4 linked regions of the Drosophila melanogaster genome follow. The protein of the gene in region 3 purifies or fractionates together with the protein of the main gene of each other region. This does not show direct contact. Each region holds a gene or a part of one and is shown on either strand. Other genes may lie near its edges.

The links.
Region 1: the proteins of CG3815 (region 3) and Sin3A purify together in Drosophila melanogaster (affinity purification with mass spectrometry; 2 studies listed by BioGRID, with this or other methods). This does not show direct contact.
Region 2: the proteins of CG3815 (region 3) and east purify together in Drosophila melanogaster (affinity purification with mass spectrometry, with the first as the bait; one study listed by BioGRID). This does not show direct contact.
Region 4: the proteins of CG3815 (region 3) and Ask1 purify together in Drosophila melanogaster (affinity purification with mass spectrometry, with the first as the bait; one study listed by BioGRID). This does not show direct contact.

What each region holds. Positions count from the first base shown.
Region 1 is NT_033778.4:12,586,148-12,591,050, forward strand, and holds the start of Sin3A (Sin3A), read right to left. Parts: upstream 3,006-4,903; 5' UTR 2,569-3,005; intron 1-2,568.
Region 2 is NC_004354.4:2,010,663-2,015,681, forward strand, and holds the start of east (enhanced adult sensory threshold), read left to right. Parts: upstream 1-1,980; 5' UTR 1,981-1,995; intron 1,996-2,458; exon of another isoform or gene 2,459-3,123; intron 3,124-3,679; 5' UTR 3,680-3,859; coding exon 3,860-5,019.
Region 3 is NC_004354.4:6,293,653-6,299,476, reverse strand, and holds CG3815 (uncharacterized protein), read right to left. Parts: upstream 4,089-5,824; 5' UTR 3,972-4,088; coding exon 3,924-3,971; intron 3,768-3,923; coding exon 3,577-3,767; intron 3,514-3,576; coding exon 2,829-3,513; intron 2,769-2,828; coding exon 1,246-2,768; intron 1,175-1,245; coding exon 985-1,174; 3' UTR 507-984; downstream 1-506. Other genes in the region: CG12219 (uncharacterized protein), read left to right, coding at 1-180; CG15891 (uncharacterized protein), read left to right, coding at 4,424-4,873; CG15892 (uncharacterized protein), read left to right, coding at 5,339-5,667, 5,733-5,824.
Region 4 is NT_033777.3:19,877,983-19,885,754, forward strand, and holds the start of Ask1 (apoptotic signal-regulating kinase 1), read left to right. Parts: upstream 1-1,736; 5' UTR 1,737-1,941; coding exon 1,942-2,061; intron 2,062-2,133; coding exon 2,134-2,328; exon of another isoform or gene 2,329-2,900; coding exon 2,901-3,079; intron 3,080-3,501; coding exon 3,502-4,399; intron 4,400-4,455; coding exon 4,456-4,794; intron 4,795-4,860; coding exon 4,861-5,663; intron 5,664-5,726; coding exon 5,727-5,873; intron 5,874-6,213; coding exon 6,214-7,113; intron 7,114-7,173; coding exon 7,174-7,446; intron 7,447-7,511; coding exon 7,512-7,749; 3' UTR 7,750-7,772. Other genes in the region: Arc42 (Activator-recruited cofactor subunit 42), read left to right, coding at 17-226, 295-1,268.

The sequences.
Region 1 (4,903 bases), on a different chromosome or scaffold from region 3:
AGGTTTGGGTCTATTTTTAATGAAGTTAGTCATCATTAAATTCTGCATTACTGGAACAATCTTACACATTAATACTAGAATTTATTCACTGACACTGAAATGAAAGGACAAATATGCCAAATATACTTTTCCATATATTAAAGACCACGAGTCTTGCTAATTTTCCCAAAACATGTTAGCTAGTATAGCACAGCTGATTGATCAATTCGGTCTATATCTTCACAGATATCGGAACGATTGCATATTTCAACAAGAAAAAAGGTGAACTAAAAAGCCACGGGGGAATTCTTCTTTTAGCCGTATCACAAAAACTACAGAGTGGAGAACGGTGTCTCTGTATTGGGTGTTCTGGATTCGGGGGAGAAGAGTGAGATGAGGGACAATAGGAATGGAATGAAGCAGTGGAGCTGTGACCAATAACAACAACAGCAACCAGAGATTGATACATATAGACGGGAAGGAGATCGTGGAGTGGAAGTTGAGTCTTGGAGGAGAGTGAGTGCAAGGCATAAGGAGGAGCGCGTAATTCACTTTAGTGTGTGTACGTTCAACCGGAATTGGGCGCGCGCTTTGTTATTGCTTTCAGCGGTACAGTAAAAACTTCCTAAGCGAGCTTTCTGTGTACACCTCCGAGTGTGTGTGTATGTGTGTACATATCAGTATTTGTGAATGTGGAAGGTGCCAAATGCCCCATGCACGACATCGGCTTGCATAGAATTCAGACGCACACATAGAAAATATTTATATATCGATACCGCCAAGGGGGCGGGCGGGTGGTGTGTGAGAGCTGCTGGTACATGTTCTGTATCTACAACTTACAAGAATAAGAAGAAGAAGAGTCAGAGGTAACAGCAGCAGCAAACGCAACAATGCAAAGGTGGTGGTGGCGATACGGTGGTGGTGGTGCAGCCACAGAGAGAACCAGAGAGAGCCGCATTTGTTGTTGAGGCGCAGTATATGGATGATTTTTTTTTTTTCAAAAAGGTATTTCACCCGTTTGGGGCCAAACTCACACACGGACACAGCAAGCATTTGGCGGGCATTCGAGAGAGAGAGCGGCAAAAATGAAGAGAGCGCAACGCTGCGCAAACCAAAGACCGCGAGCAAATATTAGGTGAATGGAAACCGCCTAGAGGATCATCCTGCTCCAACTAATTGAAACACCCCATCGAACCAACAGCTGCCCCCTTTTAGCATTTGTAAACAAATATTGGAGCACAGTACAGCCGCACAAAAGCTTTAGCCCTCGTTCTCTCTCCTGTCTCTGCCACCACCAACTATCCTTTAATAAATGAAGGTAAAACAAGTTCGCTCTTTTGAGCTCTCCCAACTGTCTTTGTTGTTATTGTATTTTTGGATCCGCCATTAGTGCATACCAAACACATTTACTCGCTTGCTGGTGTGTGTGAGTGTTTGACGAGAGAGGCTCCAAATTGGGGCGTTGTGTGCGTGTGTGTGCTTTGGGGAGACATGTGGGCAAATTTTCCCTCCATTTTTTCTTTTTTTTTTTTTTTGATTCAGCCCGCTCTATTACGTGCACACGTATAATGTTATCTTATCTGTTTTGTTATGTGTATACACAGCACAGCAGAATACGCAACACAAAAGGCAGCCAGCGGAAAATATGTTAAATTTTTTGCAAATATCACTAGCACTCGGTTTTGAACAACTGCAATACGAATCGGAATCAACGCGAATTAATATTTAGTTTTTTACTGTTACTTTCTCACTCTGGCGCACTAACACAGCCGCGGAGTGGCGCTGCGCTATTAATAAATTTTGCAAATAAAACATATGGATGTGTAGAGAAATATGTACAATATATTCACATACATATATACTATTTCAGCATGAAGAAGCAACGGCAAACGTTTTGTGTAAATTCAAAACCGAATGAAAAAAAACAGGCGGAGCAAGAACAACAAACGACGGATGGGCTGGGGAGCATGAAGAAGAGGAGCAAAAGGAAGATCTGAACAAAAAGAGGGCCACAAAATGATGCTCTCATTGGGGAGCCATTTAAATGCACACTCACACTAGGCTGCTCTCGCCAGTACATGCGAATGGCGCATCAAAGCAAAAGTCAAGATAAGCGCACGAACTGAGCAAAGAACGAATCAACAACGAAAATAAAACGACACTACGTTGAAAAAATACAGTCAGTTCATAAGCGAACCAAAAGCAATGGTTCAAAGCGTATGTATGAGTGTGGCTCTCCTCTCCACAACTGTGTTCAACTGTGTGTGAGGAGAGCAGAAACTGTAGAGGCAGCAGCAGCAGCAACACAAACAACAACCACGTCCCCGTCGACGACTTTTTGTCTGTGCGCCTTCTATATGTATTCGCTATGCCATTGTTGTTTGTGTGTGTGTGAGTTTGTGCGTGCGTGTGTATATAAACCAATTGAAATTGACCTAACCTAAAAATGTTGTATTTTCACAAGTTTTCAGTGGCACGAACGAAAATATTGTTTGAACTCGAATCCGCACTCCAAGTGCACTTGAAGGATAATGCTACTCTGCAATTTTCACGCCCCCCACAACCGCCCACCGCCCATATTACACTTACATCAGCAATAAGCAGTTAGCTTCGTCGGTTGATATTCGGCTGTGTGTATGTATATTCGAAATGTATGTATATATGTACGGGGCGCGTATGTATATTTACTACAAAACTGCCGTTGGTTTTGTGGTGTTATTGGAAACTTTCACGTTTTACGCAGTATTTTGCACATGCAACTACTATATTCGCACTCACTGGCACACCGAAATCTTTATTTTCACCGTTTTCTTTTCTTTCAGTAGCTGGGGCTTCGTTCTCCAGTTCAGTTTAAGTTTAACGCTTATTTCAATCAATTTGCACTTGGCTCTAAGACCTTAACTAGATCACACGGCTCGAATTTAAGACATTTTCTTCTCGATAGATTGCTACTGCTATTCTATTCACAAATTTTTGGCGAGAGAACGTTTTCGTACATCTCAACGCCGCCGCAAACATTTTCGATTAAAACAGCGAAACGCGACGGCCAGTCATTTGGAGTCAGCAGAGAGAGCGAAATGAGTGTAAAACGGAGAGCGTGAGAGCGCGCGCGCAGTGTTGCTTTGGAATTCATTTTATTCTGCTGCCGCAGCTAAAACAGGGTGGCAACTCAACGGCGCAACAACTAAAATCCTCCGTCGAGCGCGTTGAAAACACATCAGTAGCTGACGGCAAAAATAGTTTATATACCATTCATTACCTATTAGCAAATAATCACAATCAGTGGTTATTTTTATTAGCGGTGAGCGGTACCGCATGCAAATAGTCGCAAAATGGCGCTTAGAATTTGGATAAGAAACGAAATACGTGAGGCTTACGTAAGTGCGAGGACCAACAACAACGCTGGGAAGAGAGAAAACAAGTTGTTTAGAAAACAGGGTGTACCATTGTCACCCAGCCATGTGGTGGAAACGATGATCAGAACATCTGGGTAAGACACCCTGTTTGAGCCAAAGAGAGAGAGCGGGTGTGAGAGCAGCGCACCCACACAAGCGCAACGAGTATACAGCAGATAGCGACGTCGGCAGAGCGTTTTAGCCGACCATTGCAGTACATATGTGAAATCGACGAAACCGAAAATCAGAAACCAAACGGACCACTAGCGAGCTACAACTCTGCCACGGCTACACTTTACACACTCATGTACTCCTCCACCACCTCACTCGCCAGCGCACTCACACACAGACGCGTGCGTGCGGAGAGAGGAAGTAAAAATATGAAGACAAAAAAAAGCAAGTGCATCTCACCATGACAATGGCGGAACCATAAAAACACATGTTCCCATCTCGAATCGAACTGAATTCGGCGGCCAGCTCCTTCACAAAATAAAATAATACAGACAAAAAATCTGTATACGCGCAAAAGTTGAGCTGCTAAAACATGGAAACCTTGCAGTTATCGATTCGTCTCGCTCATTGCGCAATGAAAAAAATGCAGCGGGGGCGGAGGATACGAGAGAGCCTCTCTCTTTGTGAGACACCTGCAGCGATAGGAAATGCAAATCCGCCTTCCACTTTCCAGCTCGAAAGTTCAAAGTTCACATGCAACTAACTAGCTACTGGGTGCAGCGCATGTCCGAGGTGCACCAAAGTCCCTGGACCAAACAAAAAAATGGCACAAACCAAACTCTCCGACTTCCAGGCGCCGCAGGAAGGTTTGTTTGCCCTCCCATTGGGTATTATTGATGCTTTTTTCTATTGATAATAAAGCCAGGTGGTCTAGCATGTTCTAATTATTCCTGTGCTAATTTCAGATCTGTCATGGAATGCGGCACTAGGAAATATTAACTGACGCTGATCAAGTGATATCTGAAATGTGGTAAAGAGGTTCCTGTCACACGGACCCATTTCTATAAAAAAAACTAATTAGTTTGATATTCGTACGTGTTCTGCAAATTATCAGATGTTTTTAACTCTCTTGAGTCACATGATATTTAATGTGATAAAAACTTTTTGTTATTTATTGTTTGTTTGTCCTAAAAAATTGACAACACAGTAAATGGAAAACTTTACTATAAAATATTTAACTTTAGTATTAATTCTCATCAAAACTATAAATCCATTTAAGGATTAGAGAACCCTCTTCTTTATGTAAAAGATTATACACAAATTTACCGGTGAGCCAAAATGCGTGTTGGATCAAAATTAAGAGCAATTAAAAGGTTTTTAAATTAAAATAACGATTATAAATTTGGGAATAGGCTTACACGATTGAACACAACGGCTTCAGTGTTGTTTACTAATTCAATACTTATTGAAATGATAACATAGTATATTTAAACATACAGTTTAACACTCAAGTTTTAATAATATAATGATGAAGGCTTGAAAAAGTTACAACTAAATATGTGTAAAAGTGTTCAACG
Region 2 (5,019 bases), 4.3 Mb from region 3:
CCGATTGCTCTTTGCTCACTTCGCCTATCGCTGCTTCTTCTTTGCTGCGTGGCGTTTTCGTTTTGTCGGCCATTACGTTTTCCAATTGCCTTTGGCGCAGCCACACACAACACAAAACACACAAAGCGTGTGTGTGCGGCTGCCAATGTAGATGTACATGTTGATGTGCGCCCGCAAAGAAAAATCGTTTTCTAGGTGGAATTATTCAAGTGGGCGTCGTGCGAAAGTATTTCCGTGGCGAAAACTAGTTTAAGAATCGCGAGATTCACCCAATCTTAGTCAGGATCAAAGGAGAAAGGTAAGAAAGACGCCAGGGCGGGCAAGCAACTAGGATAATCGATCGCAATGGCCTTGGTTACTAGTTGGTGATGTCAGTGGCGACGGAAATGGAAGTCCTGGCCACGCACTTGACCCAGTTCGGGAAAATCGCTTTTCTAGTCCCTCCAGAAGCGGCCGAATGGAAAGCGGGCGGAAGAACCATGCATAAAGCTATTGATTTTCCCTCATTTCCCAAGCAATTAAGGCCTTTGCCTTTAACCCAGTTACACGTACATATATCCATATGTACATAAGAACATACAAATGTCGGCATCTACATAATCGCAATGGTCCTTGGGCGGGTGCGAAAGTGGATAAACGGGAGAACCCTTGAGAGCGGGTGGGAGTTGGGCTAAGGACGTCGCCTGACACTTGCAGGATTCAGATTCAGATCTAGCCGCCTGCCGCCCTCCCTTTCGGGAAATGGAAGCTTGTGAAACGTGCAACAACCTACGCCACAGCATCACAAGTTGAGGAAAACCAGGGAAAATCCGCAGGAAAACCGAAAAGGAGTAGGGCAAGTCTGGCGCTCGGTGGTGGCGCTCGCTTCTTCCCAATTACCACCCCCGAATCAACGACATGTTATTTTGCCGAGTCCTTTTTTTGCTTTTTACCGACGCAGAAAAAAAGACGCATCAGCAGCACCAACAACAACAGCCGACGTCGCGGCGAAAAGAGCGAACAAACATTTGCCAAAAACAACACGTACACCGGACGAAAACGCACGTCGACCTGTTCACTTCCCTACAAAAACAGAGTTGCGAAACATCCCAAGTGGTAACGTCAATCCTTTTGTTGCAATGAGTGCAAAACAATTTTTAAAACAATTGTATTTATTGACTATTTTACTTATTTTTATTATTATTTTTTAAGTGCATTGTCAGTTGGAATTTCAATGTTCCCATTATTTATAGAAGTTGACCCAGCAAATGTTTCAATTTACGCGCGATTATGCTTTTTAATATGACTGACATAAATCAAATCTGTATAAATGCAAGATATGAAAATTATTAATTTCAAAAGCATTCCCAAGGGAAAAGTAAAAAATTAAAAGTTTAATTAGTCAGGACAAAGCTATCCGAATGCAACTTCTTTGAACTCATGATGGCGACGAGGAATACATCCTGGCGACGGCAGGACAGGCAGCCCTCCCCGCCGCCCACAAGCAGGGTTGCATGCACGCCAAGCCAAATCCGAAAGCAAATCGGGGCCGATAGTGCATAATATCGTGCGGCGAAGAGCGAGACGAAGAGTCGTGGCGAGTTGTGGCGAATTGAGGTTTTGCGCCGTCGGGCCGAGCGTCGCTCTTTTGCTCTTCATCTTGGCTCGTTATTTCGCTTCGCACCGTGTTTGCGTTCACAACTCTTGTTCGGGTTCTGCATTTTATTTTATTATTATTTTTTTTTGTTTGTTGCTATTCGGTGAGTACCTGCGGAAAAGTAAGGCAAGGCGATGAATGAAAGGAACAAAAAGGAAAAGAAAACGAAATGAAAAGCCATGCAAAGGGTTTTCCTCGTCAACTCGCTTGTTTGTGTTTTGTGTGCAAAGTGCCTGGTGAAAAGATGTACTCGCCGTACTGCCAAATGAGAAAACGGCAGGCGTTCGTTTATTAATGCTCGCGTTCGTATTTTTGCGAAAACCTGGTGAAAAAGAAATTTTCTGTGCTCGCTACTGCCTGTGAGTGTGTGTGAGTGAGTGTGCGTGTGCCTGTGCGCTGCTCGTGTCTGTGTGCGCTCGCTTTGGGTGTGCATGTACGTCACTGCCACCCATTTTTGTGTGCTGTTCTGGTTCTTCGTCCCGTCTCGTGTCGCCTCGCTGTTCCCTCCTAGCCGTCCCTTGCGGTTTTTGCTGCAACTCTGCGGAAACTCTCCACGAATTCCCCCCTTGCCTAGCGCACGAAGAGGATGGCAGCTCTGCCAATTCTTTGGTAACTTTTCCGCCTAGTGAAAACTGCTGCCAGTTTCCGTTCGCTTCAGGTACTCCGCTTCTTCCGTTCCGTCCAACTGACTGTCTGCCCGTGTTTACAATCGCGGCGTTTTTGCACACTGTGCCGTGCGTCTGTGTGAGTTCTACTTGGTGGTATATCTGTGTACATGTACACACATCGATACGACAGCGGAGTCTTCATTTTGTTATTGCCATTCTCTTTCACTTCCTTTTCGCCTGCTTTGTTGCTGTCGTCGCTGTGACAGTTATGCTAGTTGTTAGTGTGCGTGTCGTGTCCGTGTGAGTTTTCCGCGTTTCTTCGCCGGTGCGAACTGCAATCTGAAATCTCGCACTCGCGCTAAAATGGCGCATGTCAGAATCGAAATTAAAATCATAAGCCAAAAGCTACTCTGATCGTCAGGCCACGAAGAAGCGGAGAAAGAAGATGAAGAAGGAGGACCAGCAAGCGGCAACAGCAGAAGCAGGATACCTAACCAATTTGAGGATTATTCAACATCTCATCGACTCTTCAGCTTCTCTTCTCAGCCTTGCCCAGTTGCTGCTTCTTCCGACTCTGCTCTTCTCTCCTCTACACGCCACTCGTCTCCTCTGCTCTTTTCTCGTTTTGCTTTCCTCGCATTCTCGCAGCTCCCAGCTGCTGCCAAAACTTGTTTTCAGCAGCGATAGAAAAGAGGGGCAATGGAGCTGGACAGTGGCTGGCAAGGAGAAGAGGGGGTTTCTGGAAACCGCAAAAGCATGTTTAATGTTCTAGTCGCGTTACTGGACTCCGAATCGGAATCGAGTGAACGGATCGGATCGGATTGTCCTGGGGATTGAATGAGCTAAAAGGGGCTAAGAGAGCGGCTTACTTTCGGCCAGGTGAAAGCCAGGGCCATAAAACTAAGTTTACCACATTACCGCTTAGGATTTCGCTTCGGCTCAGATTAGCTGTTATACTGAAGTTTGGAGATTAAAGTCCTTTGATAATATTCTTTTAGTTGGATTGAATCGACTTAATAGTTGATTAGTTTGGAGAAAACACAACAATGTTGAGTTACAACTAAAAATTTGATTTATCTAAGTGAGCATATACATTATGACTTAGCAATCCAAAGGCTTATCAAAGTTTTCAATGCTTATCAGGGATTTTACAGGTGGGATGGGATTTCCATTCACTTAACAAGTTTGAATTTAGAAGATAACGAAAATATTTTGGTCTTCCAGAACGATTTTATAAGAGCATTATAATTAAAGTTGAAAGGATGCAAAAGAAACCCAGAATGGCGTTTCTTTTTGTTTTTTAAATCTAGTGCAGAATTTAACCTACTTCTGGGTTGAGCTGTTTTTGCTTTGCCAATTAGAACGTTATTCCCACATGGCGGATTAGTAATACGACTTAGTAACTTTCTTTTTCCCCTTCTTCGCGTCCTTGCAGATATTCTTCACATCACAGTCAACCAATGGGACCAAATCACTGCGACTCGAACTGGACACAATCAGCATCGGATCGCAGGGAACAACAGGAGGTGGTGGAGCAGCAGCGCCAGAAGGCGTCGGGGGAGCGGCCATCATAGGAGCAGCAACGTCGGCAGCAGCTGCCCAGGGCCCCTCGAGAATGTCTAGCCGGAAGGTGCCAGGAGGCTCTGGAGGAGCTGACGAATCCACAGCAGCAGCTGCCCCCCTGGATGATAATGCCAATGCCAGTGTGGAGATTCCAGACAGCAGCGAGGAGCCAGCAATGGGCGTCGGCGAAGAGATGTCTATCATAAGCAAAACACGCACCTCAACTTTGTCAGTGGAGCCCGCTAAGGAGCCAACAGTAACAGCAGAGCTGGAAGGCGAAAAAGAGCTGGAATCGAATCCAGTCTCCAAAACTCCTAGGTCCACGCCTACGCCAACCCTTACGCCAGCCGTCACGCCTACCGCCAGTGATGGAGTGGCGGCCAAGAGCGTGAGGGTTACCCGGCACTCGTCGCCACTGCTTCTGATCATCTCGCCCACGACAAGTAGACGTGAGGTCGGCGACGGAGAGCTAGACACCGAGGAACCAACGGGATCGGGTGGCCAAAGAAAGAGCTCCGTGGAGCGATCTTTGGCGCCCGTTATACGCGGACGAAAGTCCATCAAGGATCTGAAAGAAGCCAAAGAAGTCAAGTCCGAGGAGCCGCCTGCCGCAGCATCAGAGTCACGAGCTGCAAGTGGAGTGACGCCTGGCCAGGTCAAGGAACAGCATGTCGCGGATGGCAACGAAATGGAATCCTTGCCAATCACAGACAAGAAAGACCACAAAGACACAAAAGACAAGGGAGATGAGCGGGAAACCGATCAGGAGGAAGAGAAGGAAAAATCAGCTGATACAGAAATAATTGCAGATACAGAAAAAACTTCGGAGAAACAAAAGTATACAGAGAAGGACAAAGCTGCCGATAAAGATGGAGGAAAAGAAAAAGATATTGATGCAAATAAGGATATAGATAAGGAGAAGGAAAAGGTCAAGGAAGTACTTCCGCCAGTGGTGCCTATAGCACCAGTGACACCCACTTGTAACCGTGTCACACGTAAATCACATGCCCAGGAGCAGGCGATTAACACGCGGGTCACTCGCAATCGTCGCCAGTCCTCTACAGTTGGAGCCAACTCCACCGCGTCTTTGGTAGCTGCATCCTCCTCAGTAACAGAGCAACCCCCTCCATCTCGCGGTCGACGGAAGAAGCCAGTGGTGGTGGCTCCTCCCTTGGAGCCTGCGGTAAAACGGAAGCGATCGCAAGATGTTGA
Region 3 (5,824 bases):
TGTCCCACGGAATTCCGCTCCAAGTCGAATATGTACCATCACACTAAGCGCAAGCACAAAGCGGAATGGGAGAGATCGCGAGCCACGCGCTCGGCGGCCAAGGCTGGCGTCCAGGAGCAGATGCAGCACACCAACCCGTCACAGGCACAGGCTCAGCCGGGTCCTGCGGCCGCACTCTAGGATGGCAGCCGGCACCTGGACGCGGTGCATGCGTAGTCTTAGATCTTTACAATTACAAATATATACATATATATTTTTTGCATATTAGCCATACCGAATGTACTTATCCGACGTTTCGTGTACTCCACAAAGTCAAGGCGTCCCGCCGCCTGGCACCTATTGTGTATACTCTTCTCGTTCTCTATAATGCCTTAACCAGTTGGATTTGATCTGGTTATAAAGTAAACACATTCATTTCAAAAGAAACTAAAAGTCATGTGCACTTATTGGGCGGGGCTTACTGCTAATTGGTGGCTCCATCGATCCATTTGCATGTGAAAAAATCTCTGATCTTACAAGTTTATTTCGTTTTAGCAATTTATACATCTGTTTTTACAATAAAAGTAAAGTATGCGATGCGGGTTTATGCGATTTATGAACGTAATGGTTAATTCAATAAATACGGCGTTTGATACCAGAGATCCACTGCCCACTGGCATGGATCAGCCTGCAGCCGTGCACATCCGTGGTTTGTACTCCGTATTTATTGCACTGGTCATAAGGCAAATATATACCCTTAATGCTGGATGGGATTGGAGGATTGTGTGATTTAAAAGTACTGCCGAGGCTTTGCATTGCGATGATTGATGCGATGAAGTTGAACTGGTATCTGCTAACCCTAACCCTATGCCTGGCTGCTAGCTGCCCCACTGAGATTGGTGCTGCTCCACTGGAGTTGGCTGCGGTTGAGCGCGTATATGTTTCTGTGTCTTAATGCTTAAACTAAAGGCTGCTGCTTCTGCTGATGGAGTCTGGGTACTGGTTCTACGAACGCTTGCTGCGCGCCTGCGCCTGCAGCAGATCCACCGACGGCACGACAAACACAAACGACAGGCAACCGAATCGCAGCAGGCTGCCGTGAGCCAGCACCGCCGATCCCTCCCAGGCGCCATCCACCATGGGCACTGGTCCGGCGTTCATGCAGCGGCAGGCGGGCTTAACAATGGGCGCCAATCTGCGGGGAGATTAAATCAACAAGTGGTTATCATCATCATTGGGTAAGTTGGGCAAATAAACTATAGCTACCGTTCTTTGTCGATTTTCTTCGTCTCGAACTGGCGATTAATGTTCCGACGCTTGTCCAGCATCTCATCGACGCGCTTCTTCAGCTCCGCATCGTCAGGTCGCATCGGCTTGCCGGCGTGCGTTGTCATCCTTTCGGTCACGTCGCAGGCATACAGCTGTCCATTCACCTCGGTGCCAAACTCTGAGTAATTGATCAGCTCGTACGACTTGGAGAATTCGTCGTAGAAGATGATGGCGTGCTGCGGTGAAATGCGACAACAGTAACCAATGGCCGACAGGTCCACGGTCTCCGTTTGCGCCAGCGTCGTCGATGGCGAATAGTGTCCACCGTAGCCAATGTACAGCGTGCGGTAGCGCATGAAAATCGAATGGTCCAGCCCCAGCGAACTGAACCAGCGGCTATCCTCGAGCATGTCGCCCAGTGGCGTTATCACCGCACGCGCCTGCACTTTGCACTGCAGCAGCTTGAGCTCCAGGCGCGATGCCAGCTCGTATGCCTTCTCCGTGTCGCTACGGGCACGCGGCGCATAGCTTTCGGCAGCGGCATCTGCTGCTGCAATGGCCGCCGCTGTGGCCAGTGCCGGATGCAGGGCCGTTGCGGGATCTTCGTCGGCGGCATTGCCATTCTTTTGCGCCAGAATTGAGGACGTTTCGCTGGTGAAGAGCAGCGAGAAACGGTTCATATCCTCCGGCGCCAGTTGGCCTTGCAGGGCAGCAGTTTCGCCAGCCACATGTGTGCCATCGACTGACGCCAGTTGACGCAGGCGACGAGCGGCCGTGCGATTCTTGTACTGTGTCACAATCTCCGGATGCTCTTCGACCAGCTGCTGCAGACGCTGGTGCGCCAGCTTCTTGATTATATCGACGTCCAGGTGTAAGAGGTCTGCATCGATAATACCCGTTGATTTCTTGCTGTCCTCCTCGTCCTCCTCGAAGCTAGCCTCCACCTCTAGGCTGGTCTTGGACTCCACCTTGACAACCGACGGCTGTTCGCTGGCCTGCGCATTCGATTCTGTATTGGGATTCTCCGTATCCACTTCGCCATTCACTTTATCGGCGGGAGTGTTCGTCTCGGTCCTTTTCTCTTCAGGACTGGGATCGCTGTCGCTATCGCCATCTATGGCCGTCTCCAAGGTTCCGAATTCCCTCTGAATCTCACGGAATTTGGCGTGAGCCGTGCGCAAGGCCTCCAGATCCTTGAGCAGCGATTCGGTGACCGACTCACGGGATATCTCCTCGACTTCGGTGGGCAGGTTATTGCGCCGCTTTACCCGATCGTAGCGCAACGTTTGGCGCATGGAGGGCAACAGCGGCGGCGGATGATCGTAGTGGTAGCGCACAATGGCTGGCACCTCGATGTGGGCGCGAGCACGCAGATTTCTCTTGGTGCGAAAGGGCGGATTGCGCGTGTTGACACGCCGGAAGAACTCAAGCTTGACATTTTCATGGTCAAGTGGCTGGTGGAAGCGATTCCAGAGACGCACCCGCTCCGTGGCCGAAATGCTATTGGTCATATTGGCATCCTGTGAACAGACATCCTCATTAGAACCCAAGCAGACCTCCATGTGCGTTGGCTGACTTACGATAAAATTCTCGGCATGATTGGGGCACATCCACAATCCAGCTGGCAGTGCCGTCAGTGGCGGATCCAGGCAATCCTGGTGAAAGTAGAGCGGACAGTAGTCGCAGGAGATGAGCGGCGCCCGTTTGCAGGAGCGCGTGCAGTAGAAACAGGTTTTGGCGGGCAGCGGCACCAGTCCCTGGGCATCCAGCTCAAACGGCTTGGAGTTGCGTCGCTGATTGCCGGCGCATCTGCGATTACCGCCATTTCCGCTCGGCGGATGCGTCTGCTGTACGGGTTGCACCTTGCCATTGCCCGGGAACTGGGTGTGCAGCTCGAGCTCCGGCGGCAGCGAGAATTGCTGCGGATTCATCATGGTGGCCGCCCTGATGACATCGTCCAGCGGCGTTGGCTTCTTGTTCGGATCGAGGGCGCGCTGTATGGACATCGGCATTTTGGCCAGCAGCTTCTCGGTGCTATTGCGTTCGCTGTTGCTGCGTTTGCGCAGGTTGCGGATCTTCAGCGGTATGGACTCCAGATCGCCAGACGATGGAGTATTCGCCCGTGAGCCACTGCCCGCCGAAGGCACACGCTCCACGGAACTGGCCTTGGATGAGGAGGCCGGCGGCTGGGAGAGCTTGCTCATGCGACAGCTGTGGCACAGCCACTGGCCACTGGGTATGTCCTCCTCGCTCAACGGTGGATCACTGTGGCGAAAGCACGAAATCAGCACTCAAAATGAGCAGCTATATGCGCGTGTATATACTCACTGGCATTGCAGGTGGAAGCTGGAGGGGCATCGATCGCAGCACAGCAGATTGCCGCCCTCCTCGCAGGCGTCACAATAGTCGTGGTTGTGGCCCCTGCCCGGGCGCCTGTAGTACGGATGCTTCGTGTTGGTGGACCGCTGCATCATCTTCTCGTCCTCGTTGGGCGGCGGGCGGATGAGCTGCTTGATTTGCTGCGCGAAGTAGTAAAGTTATGTTAAATGTGGGAAATGGAGACAGTTGTGAATGCGTTAATGTGGCAGCTCTAGAGTAGCCACCGCCGATTGGAATTGGAGCTCCGGGCAGTGGACACACTGAAGCTCTGAATGGCGTCCCGGCGGCACACTCACCTCCATGATGCTCAGTGAGGCGTTCGGGTCCTGGTCCAATTTTGACATCTTTTTCGCTCGCTCCTCTTATCCGGTGTACACAATCAATCTCGGAGCGACTTCACTTGGCGACGGAGGCGGGCGCAGTGTCGGTTGTCCAGCCCTGCGCATCCGACGAGCGAATGGCCACACTGCGCGCCCACCGATAGGCGATTAACGGAAATTCAGTGCAGACTGCATTTCACTCCAAATCTAACTACTTGCAATTAATAAAGTTTATATTGGGTATACACATTCGTAACCGAAAAATACCCAAGCAAACAAATAGTTAAAAATTAAATACCCAAAATTCTCATATTTCGCTCAGACCTCACTATAGACACCTATATGTTTACATCTTTTGGGCACACCACTAGCTAGCACTCGCTGTTTTGGACCAACGCCCGCTAAAAGAGCATCACAGCTGGCGGACGACGCAATTTGCCAGTTGATTTTACCAAACAATAGAACAAAATAGTGCAATGTTTTCGATATTTGGCAAACGCAAGCCCGCGGAAACGCCCACGGATGACCAGCCCATCCAGGGACCGGCGGAGGCAACCCGTCCAGGCACCAGTGTCGATGATTTCGTGTTCATAGAGCGCAAACCAGTACCGGATGCTCCTCATCCGGGTGTTCCAGCCGGCTCCATGTATCCACCTATGCCGCCAGCGGGCTATCTGCCCTATCCGCCGATGCCAGGACCGCGCAGCGATCAAGTGAAGCAGCCCGGAGCCCAAGGACCCGTCAATTACTTGCAGGACATTCCATTCGAGCTGGCACCCGGATTGGCCAACAAGGATCGCTACACCAGCACCCAAATGCAGGTGGACAGCATATTGGCGCTACTAACGCGCCAATTGTCCGTGGACGAGCTGGCCGAGGAGTACACCTTCGCCCTGGAGCGATCCGTGCAGAACGAGTGTTACTAGCTTTAGATCCATAGATCCACTGGTTAATATTCATACATTACATTACATTACATATAATAAAACGTTGCTTATTTAATTGTAAACCACATATGCAGTGCTCTTTTGCTTGTTAGTGGTGTGAGTCATTGGAATTCCTTAATCTTGTTGCCATACAATTAATGTTCCATTTCTTTGAAAACATGTAGAACTTTTCTGACTATCAAGTAGTCCTTTGGTTTTACCTCGCTCACATTTCAACTGGGACTGCTCATAAGGTGATCCACTATCGCAGCGTGAATACATAAAATTGTTAGTGCTCCCGTTTACCCAAATTTTTCGTACACAAAAAAGATTTCGAAACATTATTTTGTGTTTATAAGTAACCAAGTTCAAAGCTAAATTTCCAATACGTACAAATTTACCAAGCCGAGACGAGCCGTTCCGTTTCGTTTCGTTTAGTTCAGTTCCGTGTAGTACTCTTCAGCCATGGCCAGCTCCAATGTCTCGGATTGGGATGAGCCGATGCCCACGTCGACGGAGTCGCTGCCCGAGGAGGAGGATCCGGATGTGTGCGCAGAGGAGAACGTAAAGAAGCGGCGGGAGGAGGAACTGGACAAGCTGGAGTTGTATGTGCGGCGCATGGCCTACCAGCCGACACTGCCGCCCAAGGTAAAGCCCTACGACGTGGCCCTGTCCAAGCCCAAGTTGCACACGCTCATCGACAACTACGAGCAGTTCAAGGATGTATACGATCCGAAGCTGCGGGCCAAGCGGATCAAGCGCATGCTGGGCAAATACAAAGCCATTACCACGGAGTAAGTGCAGCGCTTGCATCAGTTGCTAACGCGATCTAATCATCTCATCTCATTCCCAAAAACAGACAGCTGGAGCAGATCCTTAAGAGCAACAAGACCAAGGAGCGAAAGAAGGAGGATTTCCTGAAGCGCAAGCAGGAACTGTACTACAACATGC
Region 4 (7,772 bases), on a different chromosome or scaffold from region 3:
AGATATTGATATTCAGCCCGCAGATCTTTAAATGCTCGTCAAATTGCCTCATTGTCGGCGCTTTCGGAGACGCACCAGATGCTGCAGAAGTCCTGCCGGGACTTTGCCAACAATGAGCTCAGTGGAAACGCAGCCAAGTTCGATCGGGAGCACCTGTATCCAGAGAAACAGATCCGCCAGATGGGCGAACTGGGCGTGATGGCAGTAGCGATTCCCGAGGAGCTGGGTAATTAATATTACGCCCACCTCAGCCCTCCTTATAGTATCTCATTGTATCTCTTTATTGTTAATCAGGCGGCACTGGACTGGATTATGTGGCCTACGCCATTGCCATGGAGGAAATCTCAAGGGGCTGTGCCTCTGCTGGCGTCATCATGTCGGTGAACAACTCCCTGTATCTGGGACCGCTTCTCTCTTTCGGAAACGATGCCCAGAAGAAGGACTACATCACACCGTTTACCACCGGCGAACGAGTGGGCTGCTTCGCGCTCTCTGAACCTGGAAACGGATCCGATGCTGGAGCTGCTTCCACCATAGCAACCGACAAGGGAGATCACTTCGTGCTGAATGGCACCAAGGCCTGGATCACAAATGCCTTCGAGGCGGAGGCAGCCATTGTGTTCGCCACCACCAACAAGCAGCTGAAGCACAAGGGCATCTCCGCATTCATTGTGCCCAAGGCTACCAAGGGCTTCTCGCTGGGCAAAAAGGAGGATAAGCTGGGCATCCGGGGATCTTCGACGTGCCAGCTAATTTTCGAGGACTGCGTGGTGCCCAAGGAGAACATGCTGGGCGAGCCGGGTTTCGGTTTCAAGATTGCCATGCAGACGCTGGACGCCGGCCGCATAGGAATCGCTGGCCAGGCGCTGGGCATTGGTCAGGCTGCCCTCGAATTGGCCGTGGACTACGCCCAGAAGCGACAGGCCTTCGGCAAGCCCATTGCCAAGCTCCAGTCCATCCAGCAAAAGATCGCGGACATGTCGTTGGCCATGGAGTCGGCACGTCTGCTCACCTGGCGCGCCGCCTGGCTGAAGGACCAAAAGCAGCCCTACACCAAAGAAGCTGCAATGGCCAAGCTGGCTGCCTCGGAGGCGGCCACCTTGTGCTCCCACCAGTGTATCCAGATCCTGGGCGGAATGGGCTACGTGACCGACATGGCGGCCGAGCGTCATTACAGGGACGCCCGCATCACTGAGATCTACGAGGGCACCTCCGAAATCCAGCGACTGGTGATCGCGGGCTCCATTCTAAAGGAATATGCTAGTTAAGATCAAAGTTATATATCCGTACTACTTGTGTCTCGTTTAATAAAGAACGTTTTTAATATACTATTTTGCTAGTTCTATTGAGTTGTATAATTGTTTATAATAGATAGAAATACATGAAAAAAACACCTACAACATTTTAATTCTTTAGAAAAAGTTAGCAAAACAATAAATCTTCGTTCAAAAAGTAAAGTAAAATAAGTGAAACTCTTGACTACTTTTTAGACGTTGCATATTTGTAAATTAATTAAAATAATGAACCTTAAGTGCTTTTAAAATATATTTATAAACAAAGCTTATTATTTTATATGCCTAATTATATTATATCTTTTAAACCAAATTTTAAATGACTCAAAAAAATGGGAACTTGGCGCCAAAACTGCAGCAAGGCTTTGTCGGTTAGCATATTTGTGTGGTATTTTTGTGACTTCATTCGGTATATTGCTGGTAGCTGTGCAGCGGTCACACAGCAAAAGCAAAAAGTTTCTTTATTTATTTGATAATTATTCGTTACGCGGTAATTAACGCGATGCAAGTGCAGCAGGAACGTGGTAATGAGAGTTTTTGCCACTGAGCTGCGCGTGTCGGCCGTCCAGAAAGTGCAGAAATCGCGTGAAGTGCGCGAAATCCGTCCAAGAGCAGAAAAGTGCCAAGAATAGCTGCGATGGAAACAGCGATGGATGTGGTGTGTGTAATGGATACGGCGGTGGGCGACCATCTGGAGGACCGCCAGTGTGCGCTGGAGGAGATCAAGCAGGCAGTGCAGTCGGCGGGCGCCAACTTTCAGCGGGTTCAGGTGCGCCAGCTTGGTTATACAATGGCATATGGGTGATTTGACTTACATCCCCCCCACTTGGCATCCTTGCAGTTCGAGCGCCTGGACTTCGGCGAGACGAATGTGCTGGAGACGTTTTACAACGCCGATGTGGCCATTATCGACCTGAGCATTCTCACCCAGCAGCGGCCGCTTTCCTATCACTACGGCGTTAGGGAGAGCTTCGGGATGAAGGAGAACATCCTCACCTACAACGACATCGATTCCAAGCAGACGCTCAGTCTCAAGGTGCGTTCGGAAGTGTTTACCTGGCCGGGCGTGCCTGGCAAACATCTGCGTTCGTGATCGGGAATCCGCTTCCGATAAGATAAATGCTATGACCAGCAACTGCGTGGACTCCTGGACTAGTTGTTCTTGCTGATCTTTCTACAGTCGAGCTTCCACAACGCGAACTGAGTTTATAACAAGTCTCTAACCTAGGTGCTTAGACACCTCTTTCTGGAAAATGACTAAAAATTATTCTATCTACTAGTCTTCCTTTAGCAAATTGCAAAAGAAACCGAAAAACTTCCTCTTTCCAGAGGTTAATAACTAAAACCTCTTTCCCATATGGCAGCCAATAATTTGAACTATGGAAGTTCGACTGTATTTCCGTCGAATCGTTTTCGTTATTTTTGTTTTGGCTGCGGCCATAAAGCAACAAAAGCATTGGCCCAGCAATAACAATAACAAATGCGAGCACGCCCACGCAAACACTCAAAGAGGCACGCACACACTAACAGCACGGTGTACACCAACGCAGCGTGGCCTGCATTCACAGTGGCGGTCATTAAATTAGGTACACTCTACTCCCCTTGCAGCTCTCGTGTGCCAACTACCTGTTTCTCAGCTACAAGCGGAATGCGGAGACCAATTCCTGCCACCTGACCAGCCAGCCCAACAGCGGCAACAACAGCAAGGAACCCAATGCCGAAGGACGAGTGCCCACTTTGCAGTGGCGCCTCAAGCGAAAGCTGCAAGATGTTGAGATCCAGTCGAAGTGAGTACAATCTAGGGAGTCCCCTTTTGCAGTAAGTCATGCACGGTGATTGCATATCGGAACACTATTTATAACATCCCCTGCGGCAGATTGGCTGCAAAAGTCACGCCCTGCATCTAAAATGAATCAGACCGATTTATTGTGTTGGCCTTGGAATTGCATATAAAATATCAATAATCGCTGAAAATTCTTAAGTCTCTTTATAGTATCATAATTGTCCTTTCAATTTAAATTACTTCGAACTTTAGTGATACTACTACGGGTTAACAAGTAATGAAATGAAAGTAATTGAAATCTTAAATTTGGTGTACCAGATAGATGCTAAGTTAATTAGTCTTTCAGCCAGAGCACGAAACACTGTTCCTATTATGCATTATTTGTGTACCTAAAAACTAAACGAAGCTATTTTCGGTTATTTACAGAGCCCACATGCGTGAGAAATTTCTGAGTGACATGCGAACGGCGCGGGACACGTACGCCACCAACGGCGCCAAGCTGCAGAGTATATTGCACGAGATGCGAAAGCGGCTGGACGATCCGCATGTCCTGTCTGGCGAAGTGGTACACAGTTTCATGTGCTCGCTGAGGGATGTGCAGGACTACGATGCCATGGTGCGACTGGTCAATGACCTGAAGAACATACCCAACACCCGGAAGTACGTGGAGACGGGCAACATGAGTTTCCTGTACGCCTTCGCCCTGAACCGAAGAAATCGAAAGGGAGACCGTGAAAAGGCTCTGGAATCTTCGCTGAAGGCGCTGGAAAAGAAGGAGAACCACTTTCCGGACATGCTCTGCCTGTGCGGCCGCATCTACAAGGACATCTTTGTGGAATCCGACTACACGGACGCCACCAGTTTGGCGCACGCCATCAAGTGGTACCGCCAAAGCTTTGAGGTGCAGCCGAATGAGTATGCAGGCATCAATCTGGCTACTCTGCTGGTTATCGAGGGCAAGGAGTTTACCAATACGGAGGAGTTGCAGCACATCGGCATGACCTTAAACAATTTAATCGGTAAAAAGGGCAGCCTATCCTCGCTGAGTGAGTATTGGGATGTGGCCACCTTCTTTGAGATCTCCGTTTTGGCCAACGACTACGCCAAGGCGATTCAAGCTGCCGAGTGCATGTTCAAGCTAAAGCCACCCAACTGGTATCTGAAGTCGACCATCGGAAATATCTCTCTTATACATCGATTTCGAAAGAAGCCCGAGGAACGCCAGCCGCCCATCGAGGAGCAGGTGTTCCAGTTCTGGATGGACTTCTTTCTGGAGGCCACCAACACCGAGGAGGTTAAGAACAGCATTCGCTTTCCGATTCTGGTTGGTACCCCTGATCTGCAGTTTAAGCTTTATTATTAACTCAAAACAAATTCCAGATCCTCGAGCCTCAGAAGATTTATATGCCCAGTTATGTGACTATAAACATGGATGCGGATGAGAAGTCCATTCAGATTGTGAACATCTGTTTGGCTCACGCAAAGAATGCGTGTAAGAAAATCCACGACTTCCTTTTCGTGGCATCGAAGATCAAGTCCGTCAGCCTTTACAAGAGGGATGATCGTTGTGCCTACTTGTACGTCCATCACAACTCAGATGATTTTCAAATATATTTTCCCTCCACTGAACGACGACAAAAGTTCTACGATATGATCCTGGAGATGACTGCAGATCAGGTGGTGTTTGTCAATCTCAGCAATGATGACGCTAATATCGAGGTAAGTTATTTATTATTCATATATACATATATTCCGGCCACTTTTGCTAATTATTATTAATTGTAGTACGAGTACGACTACGATGAGCAGAATCGCAAAATGGTGCTGGGCAAAGGTACTTATGGCACCGTGTACGCCGCCAGGGACAAGCAGACGCAGGTGCGAATCGCCATTAAGGAGGTGCCGGAAAAGAACTCGCAGGATGTGCAGCCACTGCACGAGGAGATTAAGTTACACTCTCAGCTGCGACATCGCAACATAGTTCGCTATTTGGGATCGTGCTCGGAGAACGGCTTCTTCAAGATCTTCATGGAGCAGGTGCCGGGAGGATCGCTTTCCGACCTCTTAGAGACCAAATGGGGTCCGCTCAAGGACAACGAGTCCACCATGGCCTTCTACTCCAAGCAGATCCTCGAGGGGCTGAAGTACCTTCACGAGCAGGACATTGTTCATCGCGATATAAAGGGTGACAACGTGCTGGTTAACACGTATAGCGGCGTGGTTAAGATCTCCGATTTCGGCACCTCCAAGCGGCTGGCCCGCATCAACCCGATGACGGAGACCTTTACGGGCACCTTGCAGTACATGGCGCCGGAGGTGATTGACCAGGGAGTACGCGGCTATGGCCCGGCGGCTGACATCTGGTCCTTTGGATGCACAAACGTTGAGATGGCTACGGGCAAACCACCGTTTATCGAGCTGGGTAGCGCCCATGCGGCCATGTTCAAGGTGGGCTTTTACAAGAAGCATCCGAACATACCCGAGGAGCTGTCCGCCAACGCAAAGAACTTTATTTTGCGTTGCTTTGCCATCAGCGTGATGGACCGACCCTCCGCCTCGCAACTTCTGGAAGATCCCTTCCTACAAGAGTGAGTTTGCTTAATTGTTTTGCCTAATTCCTTTCTAATTGCACTTTTAATTTTCTCAATAAGTAAACCCCGCAAGGTGCGCCCAGCCCTGCCCATCAATACTGAGTTCGGACGCAGCATTTCGGTGCCGGCTGATCGGTTTGTGCACAAAACCACACCGCCGCTGAGCTACAACACAACCTGCAATACGCCCACAACGCCGGAATTGGAGTAAGTTAAACGCTGCGACTATTCTTATCATGTTCGACCTTCCTCAATTACAAGCAGAGGTTATCTTATCTGTTGAAAATTATCATTTATATTTTGCTAATTTTAATGAATATAAAAATTTTTCCGTGCTTCTCTATATTTTCCCATATCGTCTACTATTATAAGAGTAACAAGTGCCTTTGCTTATCGTGTAGTTAACACATTGATTGTTGCTATCAGTAAAGTGCATATTTAATGATTGGAAAATGCGCACTCGGATTTTGATACTGAGAAGAGATAGCACTTGATGTATTGTAAAATAAACGTAATTTTATATTGTACTTTCTGTTTCCTATTTCAGCATAACGCATTCATCCTCGGTGGACATTGACGAGCTGCCCAGCAACCAGTTTATGCTTGAACGGCGAAATTCCCATGGATTTTTGCTCTCGCCAGAGATTGAACCTTCCACGCCGTCCTTGCGTACGAGCATTAGTGAGACGAGCGAGACTGACGGTTTTTACAGGCTTAAAAAGGATTCGCAGAGGCGGACAACGCTTTCCAAGGTGCTGGCACTAGACGAATCCAAGATCTGCGATATTTGGCTGAAGAAGGTCGACGCTGATCAGAACTCGATTGCGATTAGGAAAAGCGATTTGGAGGTTCTAATCCGAGGACTGCGGGACTACATTATGAACGAAAACGAAAAGCATTTGGAAGCGACTATCAACGAACTGAAACAAAAGCTGAACAACGACGCAGTTGCTCTGGACCATCTTCATTTGGCGCTGTACTCCTTTCAGGACGCCGTGGTCTGCGTACTGCGGTACCATTGCATCAAACCCCATTGGATGTTCGCATTGGATAATCTGGTTAAGCGGGCCGTCCAGGCGGCGGTCACTATTTTCTCTCCTGAACTGGGCGCCAATCTGGCGGACAAAGACCTGTCTGGAAATGATGATGAGAGCTTGCGTACAAGTCTAATGCAGAAGGGTTCCACCGAGAGCCAGGAAAAGCAGAGCCTGGAAAAAGTTCTTCCCACGAGCAACACTCGCGAAGGTGTGGGATTAACGCCTGCGGAATCGGGCGGGGATGCTCTGTCCAGTTCGATGGAGTGCGCGCGCATCCTGAGAGACATCCGTGACAATCAGCAGAAGCTGCAACGCCAGCTCCTTGAGCAGCAGCGGCAGAGCATGAGGGCCCTGCATAATATCAGTCAGGAGCTGGCTCACATTTACATGGGCGGCAGAAAGAGATTAAGGTTGGTAAACCAAGTAGGACATTGTAAATTTTATTATAATTCACAATTTCATCTTAACAGACGCACAATAAACGGCTTTAACAAAAAGTGCCATAGAATGAGTACCAGTGTGGGCGGAACGTCCGGAGTCCGTCCGAATATAGCGGGCAATCCCCGGAGGCAGCTAAACAAGCATCACTTTGGTCTTCACGAAGTAGACGAGCAGTTGGAGCAGTGGTTGACCCAGCAGGAAATAGACGAGTTCTCAAAGACGCTCATCCTGAATGAAGGTTTTACATTTGACGACTTTATCTATAACATGGAAAAGCTGGACCTCATGAGGCTGGGTCTGCGGTGCGTTAAAGCTTATAAGAAAAGTACACTTAATCCATGCTCAACTAACTTTTGGTATTTTGCAGCGTTGGCATCGAAGTGCGTTTGTGGAAACTCATTATACAAGAACGTGTGTGCACCTCGTCCGATTGTGTGGACAGTCCACCAAGCACTTACCACAAACCCATTGGAGGCAATAGCTCTTTTGCGCTTATTGACAACAACAATACGCTACCATCACCCACAACCACAACTCCCGGAACGCCGGGCATCAAAACGAAAATCAAGAAAAGCGAAAGCGAGTACGATTCGTGCAGCGAGTGACTGGAGTTGAAAGCTTTCTGAGT